Linked DNA regions of Arabidopsis thaliana. The protein of the gene in region 2 interacts with the protein of the main gene of each other region in a pairwise test. Each region holds a gene or a part of one and is shown on either strand. Other genes may lie near its edges.

Region 1 (3,650 bases), on a different chromosome or scaffold from region 2:
ATAACCATATCGTTCCAGCAACAATTTCTTATCCTCACTTGCCAAACCAGTTCCTGAATCTGAAAACCCACAAGACATAAACTGAGAAAAGACAGAACTTTATGAATGATTCTGTGAAAGATGCAAAATTTCACACTTTTACGACTCGAGACGACGAATGTTCGAACACGCAGTGGAGTAGAACCCTTAAAGAGATGAATTTGAGGGAAAGAAGAATACGAAACACCCAGATTCTTATTCATGTCAATGTTGATTCCTAGTGGAGAGAAAGATGACAACAAAACCGCCATTGCTGATAAAGTTTTCGACTTTGGGAGCTTGCAGAGAGAAATCGTCTGCAGAGAAGACGAATGATAGAAATAGAGTTAAAACCTTCTTCCAGAGCCAGAGGATCTATTTCTGTATCAAAAGGTGTTTAATTTTGAGCTTTGTATTTCAAGAGACTTGGTTACTACTTAAGTACTAAGTAAGTACTAATAAGAGAAGAGATATAACTTATTGAAAAAACATAGTTCTTGAAAATCATAAACCAGTTACAAGAGAAGTAACAACAATAGGGAAAAGAAGGGATCTAATAATCGAAATCATTCAAGAGTTGAGGAAACTGTGACAACATCTCTTGGTCTTTATCTAGTATTTCGTCAACGAAGGAACTCGCGGAATGACATGTTCCCGAGGCCTTTGAATCGATGTTTTGAGAGATGTATTCGGCTTCGATGTTGAAATGATGTTCGTTCTGCGTAAAAGTGAGGTCGCTAGTAGCTGAGGATCCCACTACTTGAGGAACCGGGTCCGAGAGAAGGAAATCGCTCCAGTAGAAGTTAGTAACCGGTGTTTGAGGTACTTGGTTTGGCTGAGTGATACTAGTAGAAGATGATGAGGAAGAGCATGAAGATGTGGTTCCATTGAGCAGATGATTTGGATGGCTATAGAAATGAAATGGAGTAGTTTGGTACTCAGAGGAATTTGTAAACATCATTGGAGAGTTGGTGTAATAACTCTCATGGTTTGTTGTTGTGTTTCTCATCATTTCCCAAGCTGAGTTGGATTGTGTGAGTATAGAGTTGTTAGATGGTTCTGTTTTGAAGGATGCATTTCCATGGCCGCTAATGTTTCTGAATTCTGCAAGGAGTTGAGAAACCGGTTTATGAGTCACCGGGTCTATCCCCATTTTCATCAGCTTCTTCTTCAGCTTTGTGTTCCAGTGATTCTTCACATCATTATCCGTTCTTCCTGGAAGCTTTCGTGCAATGGAAGACCACCTGAAAACATCAGAGGTTACAATTATTACTAATGAGATAAAAAGTTTGATAGATTCTTGTCATTGTTAAAAAGTTAGTTAGCAATTAGGTTGCTTCATTACCTGCTGCCAATGGCTCTATGACACTCAATGATAAGCTCTTCTTCTTGGGTAGAGAAGCTGTCATGTTTAAGGTCAGGTCTTAAGTAATTAGTCCATCTTAGTCTACAGCTCTTTCCACATCGATTCAGACCTGCGCCGAAGAACGAAAAATAACTCAGACTTGTTTGAAATGAGATTTCTTAAGAGTTAAGAGAAATGAGAGAGTTTTTTTTTGGAAAAACCTGCTTTTTTGGGGATCAAGCTCCAGTTTCCTACACCATGGATAGCAACATAAGCAAGGATCTTAGCGTCTTCTTCCTCGGTCCAGAGACCTTTCTTGACATTGGACTTGTCACAACAAGGAGGTCTTCCCATTTTTTGGTATTCAAACACAAGAGAGAAGATGAAGAAGAAGAAGAAGCTGAGAAATGTCTGAAAGGACAACAACAAAGGCTTTATGGAAATAGAGTGATGCAATGCAAAAGCTCTGAGAGAGAAAGAGAGAGAAGGTGAGGATCTCATGCTTGAAGGCTCCTAATTAACGGTAATTGCATGATTGTTACACTTCATTAGAAATATAGAGTCTCGAAGTGCATGACGTAGTTTTGGCAACTATCATCTCATGTACACTACTACTGATTGTATAATACTTAATTCAGTTATCATGTATCGCTTGCTTCAGGTTGATGATAACATAAACCGACTTTTATTAAGTTTTGGTCTAGTTATGAACCATAAGGAACATAACTTGCACATGAAACCAGTAACATAGAATCAGAATTATTTTTTTAGTATATAGTTCTAAATTTTTCATTCTATTGACGATATGTTTATCTACCCGAATGGCGAAAACCCGGTTTTTCGCTATACAAAAATTTTGATCCTTTAATAAGAGCTTTGATTTTACTTGTTGTTCTTAAGATGAGCAAGCTTTGCAACTCTTTCTGCAATATCCATGGTCTTTGTCTGAACCAACCATGTATGTTGGATTCTTCTGGCATTCCCCTGCCTTTGCCCATTTTTCGCAGCTCACATTCTCGTCCATACATCCAGATTGCTTATTAAACGCTCTTTCGAATGACTTAACGTGAATCCATCTGGTTGCTGACCATTTCTCTCCCTCAACCACTGGACAGCTTCCATGTAAGCTATTTGAATCTGTGGTTGCATTTGGGTGAAGATTGAAGAACAGTAATGCATCCCCTTTCCTCGGTTTCACTGCAAAGATACATAAATCAGATAGAGCAATATACCATTTGGAAAAATAGTTATACCTTTCATTATCATTTAATCAAACTACTACAATCCCCATTTGTGTTGAGCTTTCACAATTAAGCCAAACGCATGTTCAGGATACAGTATTCTATATCAAGCAAGCTATATACAGTGATCTTACCTGCATAGCCTTGTTTTGCACATTCGGTCCAGCTATCGTCTTTCAACTGAGTTGCTTTACCCTACAAGAATGTGTGATCAAACTGAAATGAGGCTACTCAGGAAACGAAATCGAAATATTAGATGAAAATTTAAGGAACCAGAAGTAATATATGTCTTTACCTTCCACATGGGAAACACTGTTTCTCCTCCCTTTTCAACATTGGACAAGTACATCAATACTGTGGCAATCCGATGACCACCGAGCTCTAGATTAGCCTGGTCGTGAAAGTAGTCAAAATGCGGTTCATACTTTTGACCATTCTCATAATGCAATATTTGCATGGATTCACCATTCTCTGATCCGCAACACAGACAAAAAAGAGATGAGAAGTTGTAAGCAACTAAAGTCTAAACAAAGAGACAGAATTAGGAAATCTATGTACATATGGCCAAAAATACCTTCGGGAAGAAAGGTCCACGCAGCAAGTTTTGCCTCCACATTACTTACTATATCATCCTACACATACATAGAACCATACCATTCAAACTCAAAGGTTAACAATCAGTGAATCACACAATCTCTAGACTATCCATATTTGCAATGAAGCTGCTACTTTGTCTAACCACAGAAACAGAATCCTACAGTATTGCAGGAAATGCATGTTTACTTGGTCAAGCGTTGATCAGTAACATAGAACTAGTCTGCCTAATTGCTGAAGTAATCTAACGGAGTACAACGCACACAAAAGCCACATTAGACCTCATAATAACAATCATTCTCCAATGATTAGCACGAAACTCAACATCCAAATCAATCCAGATACAAAACCACCGCTTCTAACAAGTCATTGCAAAGTTCTACGATATAGCCAACATAAATTTCTATAGATGCCTACATGTTCAGAATATTAACTAACCTGTCGTTTGGAGA
Region 2 (3,874 bases):
GTGTCCCAGGGTTGCTGCTTGAACAGGTTGGAGAATCCGGATCCATTTTCAATTTACGGAGACCACGAACATTGTTATTCCCCTTGGTAACCATGATGCTTCTGGTGACTTGGTCGCTTGAGAGAGAAGGAGGAGAAGATCGGACGGTGGATAATGAATCGTGCTTTCTCAATTTCCCGAGACCATTGTCCGGCGTCGGTCCGGCCACCGTTTCATCCCACAGCTTGTGTAGGAACCCCATCCGATCAACAAAAATTTATCCAAAAATATATAACAATATTTTTTCAAATTATTTCGGGTTTTTATTTTACTGTCTCTATCTTCTTTTTTTTTCCTTTGCAATGGAAATGGTTTTATAGAGGTAGTAGAGAGGTAAGGATGAAAGAGAAGAGAGAAGCATTGAATATTTTTAGTGAGGTTAATTATAAGCTTTGGCTTAATTAAGGAGATTTTAATTTAAGGATAAATATGCTGACTAATCCAATCATTAGTCTCTAATCTCATTGGTGAATATTCTATAAGCTGTGTCTTAACTTAGAATCACAAACTACTAGTTCAGAACTCTACTTAAGAATCACAGAGGTTTTCAACAAGCTATTCAAGTTCAAAGCTTTTTAATTTGCCCATGTTTAAGACAAGAAGATGGATAACAATAACAACAACATGATGATAATCAGAGTCATAACTTCTCTACATTTACACATCCCACAAGGCAGTAACAATAACAACAACAACAACATCAAAACCTAAAATCCAGCTTATCATAGCAAATATCATAGGAACATTTGTGTGTTCAATTGTCAGCTACTTACATTGCCGTTATTCTTGCCATTGCGATCATCATCATCATCAACGATCCTCCTTTCTCCTCGCTGCCTGCTCCTCTCTTCCTCTTCTTGATTGTTCTGTGTTATCTCCAATTGAGTTTTCAAGAACTGCATTCTCTGCAACTCCATCTCTTTAGCAAATTTCATCCTCTCCTTTTCCAGTTCCGCCATTAACTTAAGCTTAGCAGTTTCCGCCTTCTCATAAGCTTCCGTAAATCCAAGTATCGCCCTCGCCACATCTCCAACTCCACTCCCTCCACCTCCACTCTTATCCACCTTCAACCGCTTTGGCATATGAAACGAAAGCGGTTGAATCGGTTGCAAAGGTGGGAGACTCTCAGCAGATTCCTCAGGAGAAGCCTCAGGTTCAGGATCAGACTCAGACTCAGTCTCAGAAGCACTACGTTTCCTAAAATGCCACCGCATCGAATCAGAGCCTCTCTTCTCTTGTTGTTGCTGCACAATCTGATTACCTTTAGTTTGCCGTTTAAACATACTCGAACGGCTATTCCCAAGAGCTCCTCCCATAGGAGCCTTCTCTGAAGCTTTTGAAGAAGCAATGAATGTTGTAGTACCACCAATCAAACTCTCAAGCTTCTTGAAGAAAACCCATTTACTAGGTCCATCACCAGAAGCAATCTTAGCTTTCTCTTGCTTATACTTCTTCTTCACCGTATCAATTCTGTTCTTACACTGAATATCAGTTTTAGGGTATTTGCATTGACGACTCTTGTTCACAATCTCAGCTACTTCTTTCCAATGTTGTTGCTTCAAAGTTCCTTTACCTGGTTCAGAGAATCGATCTCCCCAAGCTTCGATTAGAACCTTTGTAGCTTCTTCGCTCCAACAATCATCTCTTCCTCCTCCACCACCACCGCTTCCTCCTCCTCCTCCTCGTCCGTTTCTGTTTCCGCTACCACCACCACCGGTTACAGAAGGAGTATGAACCACTAACGCTAAAGCGTTCATGGACGGAGATTGAGAAGAAAGCCCCGGTTGTGGTTTCTTCACGACGGCCACCGTCACGTCGTTTGTTGGCAAAATCGGCGGAGAAGGAGGAGCTTGTGGTGAAAGGGAAGAATCTCCCGGAGATGGAATTGACTGAATCTCGTCGTCGTCCTCCATGAAAAATCGATCGATTCGGAGAAGGTAAGACGATCTGAGGATTTTGCAAAATTTTGGATCTGAGATTCGCTCACCGGCGAGGGGATAAGGTCACCGGATAGGTAATCTCCGTTATTGACCCGATGGATATGTTAAATGACGAAAACACCCTTCACTCTTTCCTTTAATAACAAAAGAACAATATTAGAAATTTAGAACCGTGACAGTATTCGAATGGTTTTATGGTAAATACTCAAATATCGCTATAAGGTATTTATGCTTTGGCCATTTTTTCGTTAGGAATATTGAATATACACACTGACGGATTTCAAAATTTCTCTAATATACAAAAGTATTTTTATTTTCTTGTCTATAGTATGGTTAGGTAGGTTGTCTCAAGTCTCAAAAACTCTAACTAAAATAAAACGAGATAAATCAAGTCTAATGGGCTAAGGCCTGGAATAACTTTCAAGGCCCAATAAAAACAGATATAAGAAATAAAAATACAAAATAGAACAAAGACATAAATCAAGTCCAATGTGCTAAACGGCCTATAAATAACTTATAAGGCCCAATAAAAGGAGATTTAATGACGTGGAAGCTTTTGAAACAACTCTCAAGTTCACTAGTTACTTCTAGAAATTTTCTCTGGAACTTTCTAGCTCACTGGTGTTTACTCACTATATATCAATGGAGTGAAAATTTCAAACCCCATACTATCAAATCGAAGAAGAGGAAGATCCAATTGGAAAGGGTTATCCTAATTCCCAGGTAATGATCCTATTCTCTGTATCGATCTTTTCCTGGAAAATTTCAGAATTGTTGATTTTTTTAACTGTTTTGTTTTCTGGCAGTCATTGATCGGAGAAGATGAGTGCTGTTGCGATTAACCACTTTTTTGGCTTACCGGAGGCGATCGAGAAGCTAATTCTCCCGATTTCTCGTTCCGGCGAAAGTAATAACGAGAGTCGTGGAAGAGGAAGTAGCAATAATATCCCAATAGACATTTTGGAATCTCCCAAAGAATACATATTTTATCTCGATATCCCCGGAATTTCAAAATCAGATATCCAGGTATTGATATAATCCCATAGAAATGTTGAATTGTTTATGAAATTAGGGTTTTTTTTTTAATTTAATTTATGATTTGGGGGTTTTGGTGGGAAATTAGGTTACAGTGGAGGAAGAGAGGACTTTAGTGATAAAGAGTAATGGGAAGAGGAAGAGAGATGATGATGAGAGTGAAGAAGGGTCTAAGTATATTAGACTCGAGAGGAGACTTGCTCAGAATTTGGTTAAGAAGTTCCGGTTACCAGAAGATGCTGATATGGCTTCTGTAACGGCTAAATATCAAGAAGGTGTTTTGACAGTTGTTATCAAGAAGCTACCGCCACAGCCGCCGAAACCTAAGACTGTTCAAATCGCTGTTTCTTGAGTAGTTTCTGTGTTTTGTTTTTGTGTGTGTTTGTTTTCTAGTTTGTAATTTTTCTGTGTTTGGATAAAAAGACTCTGTTTCTTTTATGTGTTCTCTTGTCGAAATTTTGAAATTGAAGAAATAAATAGGTTTAGCCTCCAAAACCAAAAACAAATAAAAACGTTGTCGACATTACCACCATAAGATACTCCTAAGGCACTGGGCTCTACAAAATTTTTGTGGATTCTACAAGATTAATGTTATAGGAAAAATTCTAAAAAAAATTCAAACTATTTTTTATTTAGAAGTTTAATACCCAAATGTTTTTAGTCAGAAAAAATACATATACAAATTAAAACATACAAGAATTAATATCTAAAATTTTATATGTTGTTATTTTTATACATGATTTTATGAATAATTAAAAATTTCAATTTTATCTTTAACTTTTTAATTAATTATTTATTTTAATTTAAAAAAATTATTTTGGTTCTCTTTTAACCGGATTAAACCAAATCAAAACTGGTTA

Evidence for each region. Proteins that work in one complex are often made in the same cells at the same time.
Region 1: the proteins of ASIL1 (region 2) and TDF1 interact in binary tests that used the Arabidopsis thaliana proteins (3 or more experiments, as listed by UniProt).

Annotation. Positions count from the first base shown.
Region 1 is NC_003074.8:10,674,008-10,677,657, forward strand, and holds TDF1 (Duplicated homeodomain-like superfamily protein), read right to left. Parts: upstream 1,718-3,650; coding exon 1,585-1,717; intron 1,494-1,584; coding exon 1,364-1,493; intron 1,263-1,363; coding exon 572-1,262; 3' UTR 501-571; downstream 1-500. Other genes in the region: AT3G28460 (methyltransferase), read right to left, coding at 1-59, 137-290; AT3G28480 (Oxoglutarate/iron-dependent oxygenase), read right to left, coding at 2,259-2,560, 2,739-2,799, 2,900-3,075, 3,179-3,236, 3,296-3,358. UniProt on the Arabidopsis thaliana protein: Required for anther development and early tapetal function during microspore maturation. Regulates callose dissolution required for microspores release from the tetrads.
Region 2 is NC_003070.9:20,179,050-20,182,923, reverse strand, and holds ASIL1 (6B-interacting protein 1-like 1), read right to left. Parts: upstream 2,315-3,874; 5' UTR 1,953-2,314; coding exon 801-1,952; 3' UTR 550-800; downstream 1-549. Other genes in the region: AT1G54070 (Dormancy/auxin associated family protein), read right to left, coding at 1-241; AT1G54050 (HSP20-like chaperones superfamily protein), read left to right, coding at 2,802-3,005, 3,103-3,366. UniProt on the Arabidopsis thaliana protein: Transcription repressor that binds specific DNA sequence such as the GT-box-like motif 5'-CGTGATT-3' in the AT2S3 promoter. Negative regulator of seed maturation genes during seed germination and seedling development.